Linked DNA regions of Astyanax mexicanus. The protein of the gene in region 3 interacts with the protein of the main gene of each other region in a pairwise test. Links are inferred from orthologs where the notes say so. Each region holds a gene or a part of one and is shown on either strand. Other genes may lie near its edges.

The links. The genes of interacting proteins can lie anywhere in the genome.
Region 1: the proteins of hoxa1a (region 3) and spry1 interact in binary tests that used the Homo sapiens proteins (3 or more experiments, as listed by UniProt). The two-hybrid records come from large-scale screens. The link is inferred for Astyanax mexicanus from reciprocal best matches to the Homo sapiens genes HOXA1 and SPRY1.
Region 2: the proteins of hoxa1a (region 3) and chic2 interact in binary tests that used the Homo sapiens proteins (3 or more experiments, as listed by UniProt). The two-hybrid records come from large-scale screens. The link is inferred for Astyanax mexicanus from reciprocal best matches to the Homo sapiens genes HOXA1 and CHIC2.

Annotation. Positions count from the first base shown.
Region 1 is NC_064426.1:1,107,194-1,114,165, forward strand, and holds the start of spry1 (protein sprouty homolog 1), read right to left. Parts: upstream 3,026-6,972; 5' UTR 2,369-3,025; intron 523-2,368; 5' UTR 468-522; coding exon 1-467. UniProt on the Homo sapiens protein: Inhibits fibroblast growth factor (FGF)-induced retinal lens fiber differentiation, probably by inhibiting FGF-mediated phosphorylation of ERK1/2. Inhibits TGFB-induced epithelial-to-mesenchymal transition in lens epithelial cells.
Region 2 is NC_064432.1:5,911,018-5,918,515, reverse strand, and holds the start of chic2 (cysteine-rich hydrophobic domain-containing protein 2), read right to left. Parts: upstream 3,026-7,498; 5' UTR 2,831-3,025; coding exon 2,685-2,830; intron 1,364-2,684; coding exon 1,309-1,363; intron 277-1,308; coding exon 121-276; intron 1-120. Other genes in the region: OCIA domain-containing protein 1, read right to left, coding at 4,736-4,773, 5,276-5,394, 6,361-6,475, 6,816-6,863.
Region 3 is NC_064410.1:62,517,563-62,524,633, forward strand, and holds the start of hoxa1a (homeobox protein Hox-A1a), read right to left. Parts: upstream 3,020-7,071; 5' UTR 2,055-3,019; coding exon 1,400-2,054; intron 540-1,399; coding exon 187-539; 3' UTR 1-186. Other genes in the region: homeobox protein Hox-A2a, read right to left, coding at 5,963-6,708. UniProt on the Homo sapiens protein: Sequence-specific transcription factor. Regulates multiple developmental processes including brainstem, inner and outer ear, abducens nerve and cardiovascular development and morphogenesis as well as cognition and behavior.

The sequences.
Region 1 (6,972 bases), on a different chromosome or scaffold from region 3:
TGCTGCTGCTGTTGATGTTGTTGTTGATGGTGGTGGTGGTGATGATGGTGAAGGTGATGATGGTGTTGGTGGTGGCGCGATTGCGGAGACTGTGCCAGCAAGCCCTGCTCCGAAGACGCACTTCCGCTACTGCCGGAACTCCCAGCGCTACCCATGCTGGTGGAGCGGCTAAGGGTGGGCGGCCTGGTGGCTACGGGCCGCGCCTCGTAGTTGTTGTTCACATTGACGAGGATAACCTCGTGAGTCCTCTCGTGTTTGTCACTGACACGGGGTGCCGGGGCGGGAGGCCGGCGTGCCGCCACTGCGGGACCCTCTGTGTACTCGTTAGACGAGCGGATGGCTCGGATCTGCTCCAAGGAGAGGATGGCCCCGGCTGGAAGGTCCAGGTCCAGACGTTCCCCGGGCGCCGGCGGCTCCCGGATCACCGCCACTGATCCGGCGACTCCGCGGTGACCGCGACGATCCATCTGACCTGATCAGCGACTCCCTGCGCAAGCACGGACTCTAGTCTCATCGGACGACCTGTCGGGAAAAGAGAGGGAGAGAAAGAAAGAAAAAGGGAGAGAGATGAGTACAAAAGCTCCAAAGTTCCAAAGTTTATAAAAAAAAGCAGAAAAGCTGAAAAGTCTATACAGTTTAAGAAAATCAACACTGGTTTATGACCTTAAAGAATTAATTGATTTAATGTTACATTAAATTACAGAACAATAAGATGTAAGTTAACAGCAGAATTTCACAGCTCTAGATTGATCAAAGTCTATGAAAGACTGTGACCGTCTGAGAGACTAAGATTAAGCCTCTGAGCCATTAGGTGTTAGACTCTTCAGGTGTGAATCAAATGGATGGTTTCCTACAGTCGTTCACACTTCTCGATTCCCGACTCGCACCTATTCACCAGCTTAACCTCTTCTATACCTTCTATACCTTTGTGTCTCTACTGTCATGCAAAACCCCCGTATCTCCATATTTGACATTCTGCATTTTATTTAGGCTATGTAAATCTGCCACTGATTTTTACATCAATGAAAACAAATCGAATTATAAGAAACTTTTTCTGGCTGTAAAAACCGTTGCTGTTTGGAGATTTAAAGATCAACATGGGATAAATCCACCTACTTTGATAAACATTTTTTTGATAAACTGAGAATATTTTGTACATTAATAGACACTTCTGCAAATCTGATTAGAAGCAAACTAAAGCAAACTGGGTTAATCCATGGGACAAACTGGACTAAACTCTAAAATAAATAAAATCCTCTTATATTATTGTCTTGCTGACTTTGACTAACTTTTTTGCTCAGACTATGGCTTTTCCCTAAATATATTACATTGATAATAAAAGTAATTTACACATTGTCAGCTATGTTGGGAAGCGCAATATATACCAATATATACAATCTTCAGCAGCAGGCTGTTCATGCACATTAATAACACATTAGTAACTCTATTTTACAACAAAAGACTATTATTTATCACGTTTTTGCCAATAGATATTTAGTTAAAGCAAAACTTCAAAGCACTAAACTAAAAAAACATGCTTAAACAAGCCAAAACACTTCTCTCCATATCCAGAATTAACACTTCGCACAATTTTTGCACCTTTTAAAAAGCGCAAATGAAAGAAAAAAACACACACAATGCAACTTAACTTACGCAAAACTTAAAACTTAACTTACGCACCCCCCCCCCCCCCCCCCCGCCACTGCAGGTCGAGGACGAGTCCAAGAGGAAGCGAGGGGAGGAGGGGGGGTAACTTATGAATGAAAACAAGCCCTGTGGGGGGAGGGGTGGGTATTTGGTAGTTACCGCGCGAGGAGGGGTAGTAGAGGGGGGGTAACAGAACTCTGTAGGCTCTAGTCAACCTAGCCTCGAGCCCTCGAGATCGCGTGCATGCATGTGCACTACACAGAATACACACTAACGTTACTCTTTCTAGTGCACACTACTTTTAACGAATAACGAATTGCTAAAAACATTTTTCCCTTGTTTTCGGACAGTTCTGCGTTATAAGCAGCGACGGGAGGGAGTATAGTATAGTGTGTATTCGAGTGCACATGCATTGTGCATTGCAAGCTCGAGGCTACGCACGCACGAGCGTCTGTGAGCTGAGATTCAGATTCAGTTTGCGCACAGACGTTGTTGCGTTGCGCCTTTTATTATTTTTTCGGTGCAACTACAGCAACTGAAGCAACCCAGTAACAAACCCCCCCTTCCCCTTCTCTCTTTCCTCCCTAGAAATGCGTAAACAGGGCACGCGCGTGCATGCACGCGCACGCACGGTCTAAAAAAGACCCTACAAGGGACGTGTTAGTTAGCTAGTTACTTAGTTAGTAGTTAAAATAGTGAAGCACGAGCAGCAGCTACGCACCTACACGCGCTCCTCCGCAGCTCTGACGCCATCAGCCAGTGCGGCTCGCGTGCGTCTCCCAGAATCACGCAGGAAATCTCACGGCGCGCGCGCTGTGTGTCTGGACACTATACATCCATATACAAAAACAGGGGCTCGCGGTACTCCAAGTCCAGTCTTTTCGGTGTGATCCAGGGAAATGACGTTAAATCCAGGAAAACTGATGATAGTAGCGTTCAAAAATATGTATATATAGATATATTCGCAAATATTATCGTTAAAATAAATATTAATAAAAATAACAACAACAATAATAATTGCAGTGATAGTGTCCTTTAGCACGCGCTGCACAGCCGCAAGGAAATCCCAGTTTTAGTCCAAGCACGAGCGCGCAGACGTTAAAAAATAAAAAAAATGTAAAAATGAATTAATAAAACCAAAAAAAATACAACAGAAATCCCTCGTATGTCCTCTCGCGCTCCGTATGAGCCTCGCAGCTGAACGTCACGCGTAAATCCGGGTACTGCGGGTTGTAGTCCGTCCGTTTCGCACGGTAACTTTTTTTTCGTAGCTACGCTTCGTGTTTTGGTGTTTTCGCGTTTTCGCTGTTTTCTCTTCTCCTGCGCGCGTGAAAGATCGCTCGCGCTCTCTCCGCTCCGCGGTAATGAATGGGAGCGCAGCTCCGCCTCGCGCTCTGAAACCGGACACGGCGCATCCGCTCCGCGCCGATTGGCCACGGGCTGCGGGCGGGGCGAGGCGGGGCGGGGTTTAAGGTGGACCGGCGTTAATAACGTGCAGCGGAGCGGCTGATCTTTTACACCCTGCAGATCACTGATCAAACCACTGATTAACAAACTGTTCATCAATACTGATCAGTATTAATCAGCCCTACATAGGAAACTATGTTGAATTAATGTATGCAAAAGCTTCACAAGGTGTGCACTTAATATTTTTATTTTTATATCATTACTGTTATTATTGTCACTTTGCATATAAGTGTGTAACTTTGTTAAACCGAAATAAACTAAACTAAATTGAAATAAACGTTAATTTTTACATCCATAATGCTGATCTCTGCCATCAGAACTGATGTATTTGTGCAAATTGATTCAACATTGATTTTACTCTATGGTTTTATATGTACTTTTTATAATTAACTGCACTTTTTAATTAAATATACATCTTGTTTCTTATAGATTATAGTACTGTGTTACTGCAGTGCAGAATTAGACAATTAAATAATAGTAATGTCTTATAAATATAATACTTACCTACTTAATTACTATTATTATCATTATTTTTAGTATTTAAGAGAATCACCTTTTACCCAAAAGCATTAATGTGAGTGTAGAAGAACTCCAACCACTATTTAAACTAGTTTAAACTAATGAATGCTGATTAAATGTCAGAATTTTAACACTAATTATAGCCAGTGTCTTTTATTAAATACAGGCAATTCTAACAATCAGTACTGATAACACTAACTGTAGATCATAACTGATATTATCATAACGAATCCATTCAGATTAATACTAATCTTTTTTATCACTATTCATTCACTTTAGCATGCATATTTACTACTGATCAATACTGATCTCTATTACTACTACTGATAAGTTTATGTCAGTAATAACTAGTGTACTTCTGCACCACTGATCAATACGGATTAATATCAGCGTCTACATTCAGTTTATAGACACTACTGAACTATCGTTACTGATCAATACTGATCTCTATTATCTAGACTAATCAATTATACAGTCTGTCTGATCAGCACTGATCAATACTTCTTCTGATAGTTTCTAATCAGGACGCGGGGTTAATCCTGCAGGCGAGCTGTGAGCTGTGTGTGTGTGTATGTGTGTTAAGGGGGGGTTAAACCCATTGTAAACATGCACGCGCGGCTCCACCTTAAGAAGCGCGAGGAGCCCCCGTGCCCCACAATCTGACCGCGCGGATGCGCCACATCCGGCTCCTGCTGAAAAAGGGGAAGTTCAGCACAGAGTCAGGAGGGGGAGGGGCCACCAGTACAGGCCTGCAGTTATATATAGATATACACCTCTACCTTTATATATATACACCTACTGTATATACACCTCTACTGGTATATACTCACCTACTGTTATATATTTCCCTACTGTATATACACCAAATACTTATATATATACACCTCTACTGTTATATACTTTTATATAAACGTCTACTTTTAGACATACACCTACTGTTATATACTCCTATTATATAAATAGCAGTACTCATATATACATCTACTGATATATATATATATGCACCTACTGTTATATACTCTTCTACTTTTATATATACACCCCTACTGTTATATATACACCAATATTCTTATATACCCCTAGTGTTATATACACCTCTATTGTTATATACACCAATACTCTTATATATACAACTATTGTCATATAAAACTCTACTTTTATATATAATCCTACTGTTATATAAACCTCTACTACATATACCCCTGTTGTTATATACACCAATAGTCTTTCACTTACTAGTCTCTTACCTATTCTCTTAAATTGGATATATCCAGGTGGTCCTGTCTATACTGTATATAGACAAATATATATATACATTATACATATATCTGTATGTTTAATCTGTCATTACAGCACATGCTATGCTAATTGCACTAGCTGATACTTTTATTTTAAGCTTTTTTTTTGCTCTTTTTTCAGTTTTAGTTTTACAGTGTTTGTTTTTAATCAGCTGTATATTTATGCTCTGAGGAGAAGTTCTGCTTTGTGTGTCTCTCAGGATCAGAGCCGGCAATAAATTAATAAAGCTGAAAAGTGCACGGCTATAAAACTCCCAATTTGTGATCAAATAAAACTTTTTATGGAGCCCGTAATTCATCGGAGGCCGGATGAGTTCTGCAGGTCCAAGATCCATTTCCTCCGAGTAAACAATTTAACAACAGCACAGGACGGGAGGAGGAGGGGGGGGGGGGGGGGTGTTTATTTAATCTGCTGACGTGGGACGCTGGTACAGACCAACACAGACAATAAAGAAGCTCCATTTATTATCAGTTAATCAGTTCAGATCCTACAGGGGGTAGAAGAGTCTTTATACTGGGGGGCGCTGGCCCCCTCGGCCCCCCCGTCAGCAGAAGGGCCGGGTGCCGTGATGCTGCTGCTGGTAGGAGATGTAGGTCTGAATGAGGGATTCTGGGACTCGTGGTTTAATAGCAGACAGGGCGGAGTCAAAGTGCCGGTCGGTGATGTGCTCGGCTTTAATGTCCTCCTGAAGGGCGAAGAGTGCAGCTTCACGACACACTGCAGTTATCTGATAAACAGAGAGAGAGACAGAGAGAGAGACAGAGAGAGACAGAGAGAGAGAGAGTATTTATTTATCATTCGTGGATCTTAGATATTATACGATCTTTATACATAATAATACTTACAGTAAGAGTAAATACTCAAAATACAGAAAAAATTACAAATCAAAACAGAACAAAACATTTATCAATATTTATAATTTGTTCAAAATCTTTTATGATGTGTTTTTAAAAGATGTTGGCAGCAATCCTTATTTATATAATCATATTAAATACATTACATATAATGTCAACTTTATAGGAATGGAATATTAGCCCCCACAGTGCTGAATGTAGAAATATCTGATCCCCACATTGTAAAATCTGAGGATATTCAGTCCCCACAATGTTAAGTTTAGACACATTCAGTCCCCACAGTGTCGAAATGTAAGAATACCCAGTCCTCATAATATTCAGTTTAGGTATATTCAGTCCCCACAATGTTGAAATCAGGGATTTTTAGTACCTACAATGTCATACAGGAATATTAAATCACCACAAAGTCAGATTTAGGTATATTCAGTCCACACAACATTAAAATGTAGGTATATTCGGTACCACAGTAAAAAAGAAAGTTCGAATATTAGTCCCCAAAATGTCAAATTATGCCTGTATTAAAGTTAGGGATAGTTAGTCTCCAAAATTTCAAAATGTAGGAATTGTCATCAATCCTGATCAAAATTTATGAATATTTATTCCCCTACAAGGTCAAGTTTAGAAATATTCAGTCCTTACAATGTCAAAATCTAGGGATATTTAGTCTCTACAATCATATTTAAGAACATTTGGTCCCAATAATGTCAAAACATATGGCTTTTTAATCCCTGAAAAATGTTAACCCACTCTGGGATCAGTTTTAAGGAACATTTTTGGACTCTGGTTTTATTTGGACACTGAAGAACGATCCTTTATCTACACTGGACACCCATAAAGATTCCACCTGTTACCTGTTTACGCTCTCAAGCAAAACTCCAGGCAGAATAAGAGTCCTGGATGAGCGTAATCACCCTGAAATATTTCATGAATGCTTTTCATAATTTGACCAATAATGCTGTATAGTTTGCTGTGGGTAAATATGTCAGCCACATGACTAATCACAGAGACCTGCAGGCCTGCAGCTCAGCGGAACACGCCGTCTTATTCCACTGATCAGAACGCAGATGCAGTGGCATGGCACCATGCCCCGACCACAAATTAGCACAGCCTTCAGTTTTTTTTAAAGATTACACACCCACCTGTGTGCTAAAATATTTCCAGTAATTACAGGTAACTATTTTTACAC
Region 2 (7,498 bases), on a different chromosome or scaffold from region 3:
TGTTATGATGATATTAGAATAATATATAAGACCAATTGGTACTTTTGGCAGTGTGGGCACTGCGCCAAGTCCTGCTGGAAAATGAAAGCTACCTTCTACCTTTCACTGGTGGTCACTCACCCGTTTGCTGAGGCAGATAACCGGCCACAGGCTGAAGCCCAGGGTACAGCAGCAGCATAGACAGCCGCACAGCAACCACCGCACGTTCACCGGCAACGTCTTCCGCAGGCAGCCGTTCACTCGGTTTATGCTGGCTTTGAACTCCTCAGGTGCTACCTGCGTATAAATACAGAGCTCAACCAATCAGAAACAGTTTTTTTTTTTTTTTGTATTTTAAAGCAGTTTGTAAAACTGTTAAAATTACTATTAAAATATCGACAAATTTGGTGCCAGAAGTGCGTTTCTGTAGTTTTACACCAAAGCTACAAGGCTAATGTAGCAAACAAGCAATAGGAGTTCACACTAGGGGTGGGCAATATGACCCGAATTCAATATCGCAAAATTTCAGGGTACTTTTGCAACATCGATATACTTTGTTTAAAAAAAAAAAAAATCTAATTTCAAGAATAAAGAGAAAAAGTTTTATTGAGTATAAATAACTATAAAAAAAATATATAAACATCTAAACATCCATTTCCTAAACTTACCAAGACTCTTATTATGTAGAAAATAATATTACTGTAACAAAACAAAGGTGAATAAATGAAAAAAGTAATGTAACAACACAAAACCTACAAAAAACTAAAGTGCATCATATTTAGTGCATGTATTTAAACTGCAACCAAACAATTAAAAGTAGTGTTTTTATTGTGTCATTTTTCCGCAATACTACTGTGTATTATTCAATATGGCACACCCCTAGTTGACAATGCTCAACATGGCATCTATCTACAGTTCCACAACTATGATTTTTACGCTGTGAGTGGAGTAGTAAGCAAACACGCCCTATGATGTGGAGATCAGAGCAGGCACAGTAGCCAGAACAGGCCAAATAAATCACACATTTTGTGCATTATTGAGCCAAAAAGCTACAAACTATGAATATAGATTTTATTTAATTTTAATACATTTCGAATGTGCTTTAAAAAGTATTTTTTTAAGTTACAGTGATGGTTAAACACTGTACACACAATGCATGTTTCGGTCGAGGTAAAAGCTTCCATTGCTTGTTAGCTGCATTAGCCTCAAAACTCATTGTTTGGTAGCTGCATTTGTAGGTACAGAAGCTGTGCCTAATTGATTTGTTGAACAATCACTTCAAGAAGAGCAGTGACTAACAGGAGTAAACGTGACCGAAGATACACTCACCTTTCCCGTAAGTGCTGAAGGAAATTCTGACTCAAATTTATTGCTGAGTCCAAACCTGAGGGTGATTAAAAACAAAACTCAGTATTAATTTTTGCCTGGGTTTCTATTGTTCTCATACACTTAATAGTTTTTTTATCACAGTGTTGGAGTCTTAAAACCTCAGCTTTAGATTCACCCCACCACCTTTACCTGCAATAATGAAAGTGACCTAGATCAAGACAGTAAGTTAGGCCAATGATGTAAGTTTAGGGTATTGGCCATTGGTTTCCTCTCCACCAACTGGCTTGCTACTTACTACTAAGCTCCTGTCATTCTCAATGGGTTCAATTGGTCAATAAAGTAGCCAGAAGACCAGATTATGTTTCAACAGCCATACAGTGAACAGAAGAGCTTTAAAATCAATTCTAGAAGAAAAAAACAAACTTGGGAGATGCTCCATCCACTGGCTAGCTACTTCAGAACCTTCACTGTGATCTACCTGCCGTTCTCAGTGGGTTCAATTAGTCTGTGAGGCAATCAGAGGACTCGGTTACATTTTGACTGCCATAGAACGACAAAAACAGCTTTAAAATCAATTCTAGAAACTCCAGTGACATTTTTTTGGGATACAAGTTTCCAGAAACTTGTCCATTTGATTTGATTTAAAGATTGTTGTGTTCTTCCTGCCATTTTTAAATGGTTTAGTTAGTCACTAAGGCGGTCAGGGGACTGGATTACATTTTGAGAGCCATAAAACATCAAGAACAGCTTTAAAATAAATTCTAGAGGATAAAACTGTGATCTTCCTACCATTCATCGGTTCAATTAGTCATGGATTAAGTTCCAACAGCCGTAAAAGAAATCGAACAGCTTTAAAATCAATTTTAAAAGAAAAAAAATAATTCAAGCAATCCTCCACTAAATGTAACCATAAAACGACCAGAACAGCTTTAAAATCAATCCTAGAAGAAAAAAACAAGGTTAGGAGATTCTACATCAACTGGATTCCTACTTCAGAACAATCACTGTGATCTTCAAATAGTCAGTGGACTGGATTCTGTTTCGAAAGCCATAAAACAACAAGAACAGCTTTAAAATCAATTTTAGAAGATAAAACTAAGCTCTGGAACGCCTTTACCAAGTGGCTTCCTACTTTAGAACCCTCACTCTGATCTTCCAGCTATTCTCAATAGGTTCATTGGGTCAGAGAGGTGGTGAATGGACTGGGTTAAGTTTCTAAAGCTTTATTAAATCAGTTTAAAACTCATTTTAGTGCACTGGAGCTGCACTAGGCTGGTCAGATCCTCCACCGCTCGGCCTGCTGGGTCAGTAGGGCAGATCGGCCGGGACGCGGAGGTCTCAGGGGGGCTGTTTGATCGGTTTAATGGGGGTCTTACACGGTGACCCGGCCCGATCCCCGGACCAGGACCGGCTCCGGGGCGTATTTGAGAAGCTGCTCCTCCGCGGCCCGCTGCTCGTCCTCCTCCTCTTCCTCCTCTTCTTCTTCCTCCTCCTCGTAGATCTCATCAAAGTCCTCCATCATCGCCGCCTCGGCCCCGGGGGAGCGGAGATCGGGGGCCGGGGGAGCTCCAGAGCCCGCTCACCGCCTCCTCCCGCCGCTTTATTAACTAAAATCAGCCTAAAACTCCTCCGGTATCGCTCTTATTATTATCACCGCCGCCGCCGCCGCGAGCCCAGCCACAACAACATCAACATCCGCCTCAGATCCCGCCGCTTATCGCGAGACTTCCGCCCGGGAGTGGGACGTCAGAGCCGGTGTCCTATCGAGTTGCGCTACCCGTCGAAACGTGCTACTTAGAGGCTCTGCGCATGCGTTGGTTCTCATTTTTTATTAGTATTATTATTTTTAAAATTATTTTCACGTGTTTTAGTACTATTTTGTTTACTGTGTTTAATTTTTTAAATTTATTTTATTTATTATATTAAATTTATATAAATAAATGTATATAATTTAAATATATATTTACTGTTTTCACGTGTTTTTCCTCAAAATATGCTTTTATTTATTTATTTAAATTAATATTTTTAATTAAAATGTTTTTTTTTTTACTATTTTTTCACGCGTTTTTCATGATAATTATGTTGAGTGCATTATACAATTTGAGCTCAATAAATTTTTTTTGCTTGAGTGAGATATGTTTTACAACCGTGTAAAAAATATAATAATAATAATAATTATTATTATATATAATATATAATTATATATAATATATAATATATATATATATATATATATTATATATATAATAATAATAATTATCAGCTGAAGCACCAAAACACAGTCCGACTGTTCTAACAGTAAAGATAAAATGCTGTAATCAATGAAACGTGCTTAGCCTTGCAGACTAAAAATTTAAATAATTGTTAGAATGAAAAAAAAAAAACATTATGACAACCTATTAAAGAAATCTGAAAAAAGTTCATTATGAGACCTTTGTTATATAGGGCAAATTCTTAGTGCGCCTGCTGGACAAGAAAAGCCACTGCTGAACATTTATTCATGTTAGTTTAGGTGAGTTTTATTGATTTACACATAAGAGATGTTAAATTCAATGCAATTATTATAAATTTAGTCTACAATCGTATTATTGAATCATTAACACTGACCTTAACTAAGGCAAGTGAGAGCTGCAGTACTTTAAATATTGTTCTGGGTTCTTTTGTGACCTCCTGGATGAGTTGTCCATGCCCTTTTGGAATAATGTCAGTAGGCCAGTCACTCCTGGGAAATTTCACCATTTTTTTCTATTTGTGAATAATAGCTCTCACTGTGATATGCTGAAATCCCAAAGCTTTAGAAATGACTTTGTAACCTTTTTTCAGACTGATAGATGATCAATGACTTTGAAATATTTTATCTGCTTCATGTTGTCAGACAGGTTCTATTTAAGTGATTTCTTGATTCTACAGGTCTGATAATAATCAGGTCTGGTTGTGGTTAGTAGTGAAATTGAACGCAGCTTTGTGATAAAAAAAAAAAGTGTGATAAATCACAGTTAACTCATATTTAATGATTAAAAAATAACCAAAAAATGAAACACATGAAGCATTTAACCAACTTTTATTTTGAACTCAGAAACACAGATCCAAAAAAGGCTACACACACACACTCAAAATCCAACCCCCTTCCAATGAATTCCTTCAGCTACTTAAAAGTTGCACCCATTGCTAATATAGATGTGTAAATGCACACACAGCTTGTGTATTCCTTGGTGATACATCCAGGACATAACAGTGACACTTCAAAATGTAGTAGAAAGCCTTGGGATTTCTGGACAGTAGAGACAGTTGCTTTATCAAAAGCAAGATCAGGATGAACTCTTTTTAAAAGCCTTGATTTAAACAGAAGCAAGAAATTAGAACATGTCCCGATACTTTTGTCGTTCAGTAACAGCATTAACACTCTGTACTGACTGTAGATCTCTGTTCACTCCTCCCATGAATCTCCATACTTGTTCTTCTTCACTGCAGAGAAAAAGAGCAGAAATCGAACCCATAAGTTCTGAGTACTAAGGAAATTAGCCTCATAGCTTCAGTGCTAATATGTGTTTTTGTCTCAGATGAGCAAAAATGTTCAAATTTTAGAAAGCAAATCGTGTCACGATGGGGTGTCACGATTTTCACTAGATGGCATTACATATATATCTTAATTAAATTATTTAAATTTGACCATTAGTGCCTAATGTGGTGTATTACAGATCACTTGTATCACTTTGCATCACTTATATCAAGCCCAACTTTTTGAAATAAGATATTGTAAATTTGATGAATCAAACCAATGACTGACCATAGACTAATCTAAAAGTGGCATAGGCCTCTCTGCTGTAAAAAAAAAAGAAAAAAGAAAATCGAGAATCGAATCGAATCGTGACCCTAAAATAAAACCCGGAAATAAAATCGAATCGAGGATTTAGAGAATCGTGACACCCCTAGTATATTTGCCTTGTGTGTGTGTGTGTGAGATTACCCTTTGAGGGAGGGCGGTCTGAGGATTGTGTATTCTGGCTTTTTGTCCGAGTGTTGGACTGGAACACACTCTCAGGCTGGGGCTCATTCTTATTCAGCACCGACTGACTAAGTAAAAAGCTGAACACACACACACACATTATTTACGTTAGTACATTTTTTTACATTAATGAGCCAAAACATTATGATGAATGCTGATGATATTGTGGTAACAGTGCTGCATGTGAAGAGCTAGGATCTCTGTTAGACATGTTGGACGCACGCAGTAATGCATAATTTGTTTTAATGCAAATTAATTAATTAAGTTTGACCCCAACTTCCGCCGCAATCAGTCACTTTCTAGGAATTGTAACGAGGGTGCGTAATTTAGAAACATTTCTCTCTCTCGCTCAATTTTGTTGTTTTAGCATGAGCGCTCGTCTTATTTTCGCATCATTTATCTGTGTTTTGGTATTTATAGGTTTATGTTTGAGTAAAATGAACATTATTGTTTTATTCTATAAACTACGGACAACATTTCTTCCAAATTCCAAATCTTGTCATTTAGAGCATTTATTTACAGAAAATGAGAAATCAATATTTGGTGGAATAACCCTGGTTGGTTTTTAATGACAGTTTTTAATCATGCATCTTGGCATCATGTTCTCCTTCTCCACCAGTCTTACACACTGCTTTTGAATAACTTTATACCTGCACTCCTGGTGCAAAAATTCAAGCAGTTCGTTCAGCTTGGTTTGTTGGCTTGTGAAAATCTATCTTCCTTTGATTATATTCCAGAGATTTTCAATTATGTAAAATAAAAAAAATAAAAAAACATACATTTTAAGCAGTCTCTTATTTTTTAATAGAACTGTACAAGTAAACACTATTTTTTTTATTGGCTATAAAAACGCTAAAAACTCGCGTCTTTAAAAGAACAAGAGTGATTAATCTCAGTTAATAACAGAATAGTGTTGTGATTAATCTGAAGTTTTTTTAATCAATTGACACCACTACTTTTTTGAGTTCTTCTAAGATGCATAAACTGTACAATAATGTTATGCTGTGTGTGTGTGTGTGTGTGTGTGTGTGTGTGTGTGTACTCACGTATGCGGCTGCCTTAAAGATTTTCCAATCGGTGAATCCCTCAAATTCATAAACTTCTCCTTACAGGCATTCAAGTAGGAGTACTGTCCCACAATGTAGCTCACTGCACCAAAAACTGACACACACACACACACACACACACACACAGCATAAAATTATTGTACAGTTTATACACCTAAGAACTAAAAAGTAGTGGTGTTAAACAATTAAAAAACTTCACTCCTGTCATTCCTGGTGCAAAATCTCAAGCAGTTGTGATCATCCATCTACTTCTTGATTATATTCCAGAGGTTTTCAAGTTGGTACAATTAAAGAAACTCAACATTTTTAGGTGGTCTCTTATTTATTTCCAGAGCTGTATAATAACTAATATGGCTGATCTGAGATATTTACTATTGCAGCTAATGTATGTAAGATGTCACAATGTAATCAACTTCAGAGGAGATAATACTCACGCATTATTTCTGGCACTAATCCAACTCGTGAGGATGCAAACCGGGATCCTATCAGAAACACAAGCCAGATTTACATTTGCAGTGATGTATACCCATTGTATGTTCACTACGACATCGGTAGTGATCAGTAGAGAACAGTAATCAGTAGGGGTGTCACGATTTCGATATTTCATAGAAATTGATCAAAATTATGTCATGGTCTCGAGCCTCAAAGTCAAAAAGATAATCGACGATCCCTCCCTCTAAGCTACACAAATGGCGCAGCACACTGTAGCCGACGCCGCGGACATTGTGACTGCTCAAAGAGCAGCCCTGTCTCCAGAGAATGTGAACATTCTCATCTTCTTAAAGAAAAACTTGAAAATATAAATATTGTCTAGCCTCAAATGTGTTAATAGTTTTGGTACCTTAAGGATCATCTTTCTCTCAGATAAAGTTAATAATATATCTTTATTAAAGAAAAATACTTGTCATTCTCAGGGACCGAAAAAGTCTTATATTTCATGTTTAACTAGGATAGAGTTCAGTTTGTTAAAGCTCTAATTGTTCTATTATTTTGTACATTTCCTGTCTTTTTATATTACTTATTTTGTTATGTTGCACATTGCTGTTTTAGTAGTGCACACTGCTGCTACCAAAAAAAACACTAGATGGCATTACACTTATATCTTAATTAAATTATT
Region 3 (7,071 bases):
ACAACAACACAAAACACTGAATGGTCAAAAGTTAAAAAAAATAGTGCATTATCGCGGCTCATACCGGTGGGCATGTCCAGTTATGTTGACGCACTCTAACTGCTACAAAGTTTGTGGCCAGAGTCATGGTTGTCAACATCATCATCATCATCTTTTTCCCATCAATAGAAAATAATATTGAGGCCTTTAGCCTGAAGAATAGTGGTCAGCAGATGTGGAGGCAGGAGATGGAGTTGAAGGTGCAGAAAGAGACTTTTCGGACATATCCTCCGCCTTTTCTGGACCATCTCCTGGTTCAGACACAGTCTTGGGCATCAGACCCTCTTTTTCGCGTTTCTTCTGCTTCATGCGACGGTTCTGAAACCAAATCTTCACCTGAGTCTCGTTCAGCTGGAGAGCGGCAGCTATCTCCACACGCCTGGCACGGGTTAAGTACTTGTTGAAGTGGAACTCTTTCTCCAGCTCTGTTAGTTGTTTTGTGGTAAAATTGGTGCGAACGGTGTTGGGCTGCCCACCGTAACCGTACTCTCCTACTTTACCTGAGAAATAAACAGAATGAAGGTCATTAAACACACAATTTACACATTACTGGAGTATAAATGAGATTTTTAATTTACTGCATTGAGTTTTCAGTCTTTTATGAAGCAGAAGTAAGAAGTTGTTGTGTTGATTTGCAAAAGTAGTCTTTCAAAATAAGTATTTAAGATGTAGGCAAAGCCAATTAGACTGACTTATTGTGACAAATTGTATTTTAGAAAAATGTAGCAGTTTCAAAGTAAAGGTAAAAAAAAAAACTTAGATATTTGAAGACTTTAGTGCTCCTCACAGAACTTTTAGAAACATTATTACACCAATTATTTAATATTCAAGAGCAGGATATCTGACACACAGTTTTATGACAGTATAAAGATAAACATTTGATTGGAGAGGTATGTTTTTTAAAATATTTTATTTTGTTCAGGGACACATAAATCTCTGTAAGGCAAAAAAAAGAGTTATATTTGCAATAACAATTAATGGACCTAAATATCTCTTAAAAACTTCAGTGCCTCTAAAAAGCTGCTTCACAAAGTTTTTTTTTTTTTTTTTTAACAAGATGGTTAGGAATGAGGTTCTTGATTAAACTGTTTTACAGTAGTTTAAAAATAAAGTTTTTTGAGCAAAATCATTTTATATTTTTTAATTATTGAATGGCTTAAAGACACATAATGCAAACCAAAACCCCTCTATTATAATGACAATACAAATGCCTTATAATCAGCAAGACCCCTGATCAAGAACTCTACAACTTCATCTTAAGCCATCCTAAAACGAATGTTTAAAGTTAAAGTTAAACTTTTAAATGAAAAGCTTTTTTAAAAAGATGAACCCCTTTCCCCCCAGACCTGTTTTTATGTACCTGTTTTTGGGGGGTTCCTCTTAACCTTCATCCAGTCAAAGGTCTGCGCCGTGGACAAGCCGTCTGACAGAGGTGAACAGCACGTATCGTGGTGGCCATGCAGAGGAGATAGGTGGTTTGAGCATCCCCCCACGAAGGTCAGATTTGCCTGATCCTGACCATGACCGTAGGCTGCGGCTGCGTACTGAAGTTGCCCGTGATGTAGGTGCGCGTTGCTACCGCTGTAGCCATGGCGATGATGATGAGGATGATGAGGATGGTGAGGATGGTGGTGGTGGTGCTGCACAATGTTTCCAGAGTAGACCAGGGGGCCGCACTGAGCGAACCCACCAGTCGTATCAGCGTCCTGGTTCAGGGGGTAGGGATTATAACCGGCGCAAAAACTTTGGCTCCCGTAGGACGGGTGCGCACCGTAAGCGATTGACAGGGTCCCGGAGGACTGGTAGGACCCAGCCTGATTCGGATGACTGGATACGGTGTCCGGTGATGCCCTGTCGGACAAGAACCGCTCGTTTCCAGAGCAGTTGTTCACCGTGACCGAGCACGACTGGAAAGTTGTAATTCCGTGATCTGTGTGAAAAGCTCTAACGGAGCACGAGCCCCCGCCACCTCCGTCCCCGCCGCTCATCACGGAGTAATCTAGGAACGTGCTCATTCTGGCATCTTCCTGACCGGACTCTCTAGGCGGTCTGACACCACCAGACCTTCAATCAGCGCGCGTTTGGAGAGTACCGCGCGAGGCTGATATGAATGAACACTGACAGTCACGTGAGCCGGGTCAGCCAGTGACCAGTGGCTTTGTTGGGTCTTGAGCTTGAGTGGCCTCGCGCTGACAGATAGTCGTTAAAGAGTAAGCTTATGTAAATTCCGACCTCTTGTCGATCAATGACGTCAGCGCACCGATTGGGTCCTACTCGTAGGAACAATTGATGGAACAGCAGAGCGCAGGAGTGGAGGAACTAAGGTGCACGGATGCTGAGGAGCGATGGGCGTGAGAGAAACGTGTGTGAAGTATCCGACACTTGAACCATCAGGTAGGACAAGTTCGAGACCAATGGAATACGTGATTTTGCAAGGTCAGAAATCAAAAGTCTAGGACCACACAAATAGCGGTAAAACGTAAATCGTTTGACTTCTATATTTACAAACGCGTTTTTACTGGTCCCTGGATGTAAGCAAGGTTTGTTCATTCCCGGAATTAAACACACCTTCCTAACCTGACAAGTGACTAAAATCAATAGTGTTTGAGCCGGCAAGCCGTATGCAAGACCGGACCAGAGTTTAGCTTCTCTAATTAGTGCATGGCTGTATCCGTGATAAATGCTAAACATTTGATTCACTCTGTAGATCTGCAGAACATGTCTTAAATATATAACCATTGCTTGAAAAAAAAGAGTAGAGTGTGTGTGAAGAGCATTGAAAAGATTGGCAAAAAAGCTTTACTTTCAGCCAAGGCTCTTTAAACCTTTAAAACAAACAACAATAAATAATACAAATAACAAAATATTATATTAGGTAAGAACTGTAAGAATTGATCTATCACCTTTATGTGCAGGTTATTTTAACATTACAAAGATTTTTCACATAGAATTTAAGTGTTTATTTGCTGATTAGCTTCTATAAACACATTAGCTACTTTCCACATTCTGTTCTAACAATGAACACTTTTAATTTTGAAAGCGCTAAAAATGGTACTTTAAAAAAGTGATAACATTGTTTGTAATAGAAACATGAAGAATATTTTTCTAAAATATTTTTTTGCAGACATTAAAAAGTTCCTCTATGACAGACATAGAGGTGAGTCAAACTAACTGTATGACAGAATCTGTGAAAGCAACTTTTTTTCAAAGTTGCAAGGACATTTACATAAAAGATTCACAATAATTTAAATATCCTCCCTTGTATATTAACAAAATCTAAAGATTCCTCCACTCCACTGAAGGGTTCTTTAGGGAAACAAATGTGATTATTCTATGGCATAGCTCAAACAGCCTATTGTAGCAGCTTTATTTTTAATACTGCACAGCATGAAAATGATAAACTAATTATTATTTGTTTATGCCAGCCTGCAGTGTGGCATTTTCATTACCTGCCTATGATAATTTGATAAGGGTGAAAGTTAATTTAATGAACCCCAGAGTTCCAGCGTTATTAATAGGCACTGCAGTTCCCTGGTGGAGAACAATATTAATCCTAATTTGACCTTAAGTGTTTCCAAGAAATGAATGGCCTTGTCTAGTCCTTAAGTTTTCCTTGTAGTTGGATTTAAAATAATTCACACACAAATATTAAGAGTTAAATACCTGCTTAATATGTTTATTAGTTTATTGTAATGTTTCTTGGATGGCCAAAACACAAAACACAGATAAGCAGTGAAAGTGAGAAAGTGTGTAAGGAGTGAGGGTCAGCGCCCCCTCTGGCTGGAGGAGAAATAGCGCCTGTTTTGTTTTTCGTGTATTTTTTTCTTCATTCAAAATGGCGCTGAGTGTTGAGCAGGATTTCTCATCTCCTCCTCTAACTTCTCACATCCTGCCCCCTCCCACCCCCACCCAGAGGGAGAGAGAGAGGAAGAAAGAGAGGGAGAAAGAGAGAGAGATTTCTCCCACGCAGAAACGCTTGTTCTTCTTTGTGAAAAGGCTGAAGAAAGCTGGAAGTGACATGAACATGTGTATGTGTACGATCGGGGAAAAAAAACTCTTCCCATGATTTGTTAGAGAGGATTTGGTGAATGAATATTTCACACTCACACAGGGATATATGCCTGTATTCACATATATTATAAATATTGGTGTAAAAAATTAATAGGCCTTCGACGCTCCGGTGGGATTATTTATATAACTTACTGTATATGTTTAAGCGTTTATATATATCTTGGCTAAGACAAAAAAACGATATGTCTAATATGTAAAATTAAACACATAGAATAGAATTTTCTTTTCTCAGTTTCAATATTATTATTATTCATTTATTTGTATTTTTTGGTGGTAGTAGTATCAGCATAGTGGTCTCAAAAATGCACAATAATAATAATAATAATAATAATAATAAATATAATAATAATAATAATAATAATAATAATAATAATAATAATAATCATTGCCCAACTACTACGACTAATTAATAATAAAATGTTACTACTAATTGATAATAAAATTAGCCATACAATTAGCCATAATAATATAATAGTATAACAATAATTGGACACAGACATGTCCCAACAACTTGACCCATAGTTGTATAATGTACTTAAATAGCATTAATGTTTCTAATGTCATGACACAACACCGTAAAGGCCAGAAAACCCACTTCCACTTCCAGAGTTGAAATGAATGACTTGTCCATGCGCTATAAAAACGCCTCTTACGGAGGTTATGTACACTGGCCTTACGCCTGGTGTTAAAACGGCAATAAAAATGAATTATTACCGATCGTCCCTGCAGGGTTTTCTCTGCGCCCCAAAACAGTCTCAAACAATCTCAAAATAAGAGAGAGGGAGACGCGACTGGGCTTTTATTTGCGCGGACGTCACTACCATTGTCTCGTGCTGTCAGGGTGTATGAAAGACTTTGATTTATGAGTTGGCAGAGAACGAAACATCCCAGGCATTTCCCCACGCGGAGCCTGGAGCAGAGCCCCAAACAAAGAGCACAGGTCCAGAAAAAAAATCAGCCATGTTGGGGTTTTACAGCATAGAGGAAGAAAGTTTGTAAATTTGATAGATGGTGTAACTGTAAACCTCCTAGCACGCGCTACACGAGAACATGAGTACTTACTTCTTTTGGAGTGGCTGTGCTTATCGGTGCTTATCAGACAAGAGAACCAAACTAATGTGTTTATAAGCATATTTATCAAATCTATTAAAGTTAGAGTATGAGAGTAACTATTTTATTTCTCCCTTTCTTATTATATTCTTATTACATGTTTCGTGCGATTTTATTTATTTAGTTTCTTTGAGTTATATTATTTTATTTCAAGTCTGCAAACTGTTTTGTTTGTTTAGCAGTAGACCAGCAAGGCTGCAACTTTTAAATCACCAATTAATCTAACAATCTAGCCCGTTTACAGGTTTTTTTTTTTGTTCAGTTCAGTAAATAATATCTTAATGTGTTTTCTCAATTTTTCCACCACTGGCTTTATTAATATTTTGAAAGAGAAGTGCATTTTCATAATACTGTTACTACTTTAGCAATGCTATTATTTTAATGGACAAAGATGTGTAATACAATGTGGTGTATCTGTGCAGTTTGCATTTAAAAAAGCTGTATTACATTTTTTTTACCAAATTGTAACTATGACACATTTTTATAAACAAGCACATTTTTATTCTAACAAAAATATCTGTTACAAAAATAAAAACAGTCGAATCCATCTTTAGCTAAAACCTATTCATTGGTTCGTTTGTGCGTTACTGCATACAGTCTATGATACACAGCATTCTATGCACAGAGAATCTTACCTTTAACCATTTAATGTTAACCTATCAGGAAGATGTGCCCATCTGACAAATAAGCGATAACAACATATCCTTTAGATGAAGAGCACATCATTCCAGTGTCGCAGTTCTCAATAGTTCAGATGCTGCAGATCGATTGTACTTAAAGCGTCCGTGAAAAAGCAGAAGTTATCCGTGGATAGATGCTCTGGGGTGCTCAGACACTCGGACAGTGTCGGCGAAGCGGCGTCGGACAGATGTAAGCACGAATCCGCAGAGAAACCGTGGAAGTCCTTCAGAGACACGTCCAGAGTCAGCGGGGAGCTGCAGTTGTCCGGGCTGGAGGAGGGCGGTCTGTGGCCCGATAGCGTGGGTGAGGGGCTGGAGACGTGTTTGTGGGCTGGAGACGTGTCCAGGTCGTTAAGACCGAGGGGCGACATGGAGAAGTTGTGAAGCTGCTGAGAAACTGAAGATGACTCCGGTTGAAAGGAACGCAGATCTTTATCCGGGAGGGCCCTCGACTCCTGACCGAGGCTAGGCTCGAACACAGAGGTCTCTTCATCGCTCTGCGCACCACTGTCCTCCTCAGCCGCTGTGTTCCTCAGCTTTTCCTGACCGTCCTTGGTCTGGGTCTGCCGCTTGTGTTTCATACGACGGTTCTGAAACCACACCTTGACTTGACGCTCGGTCAGGTCCAGTAAAGCTGCTATCTCCACGCGGCGCGGCCGGCACAAGTACTTGTTGAAGTGAAACTCCTTCTCCAGCTCCAGAAGCTGCGTGTTTGTGTATGCAGTCCTCAGCCGGCGAGAGCCTCCTCCTCCCCCTGCTTCTCCTCCACCGCTCGCCAAACCAACCTCGGTAGGAAGCTCGGGTGAACCTGGAGCACATAGAACAGAGTGAACATATGAAAAGGAAAAACAGCAGTGTAGCCGAGAGATAAAAATCACGCAAGAATCAGGCCTATCTCTGGAGGTGGCCGTAGTGTTGTTGGCTAAGTCACCGTGGTGCACTCTGCACAATCCCCATAAAACAAGATTACGAGTATAAAACAAGGGATCTGGCAGGACTTTGCAGCTCATAAATTGCAGTGCTAAGCTATGTGGCGCGTGCTCCCCTCCACTCACAGTGGATCTAATGAATGCACGAGCAGTCCCACGCTGGACAACAGTAATCCATCATTCTTCATTGCTGTCAGATATGTATATAAATAAAAAGTCTCGACTGTAGGATGTTGGAGAGT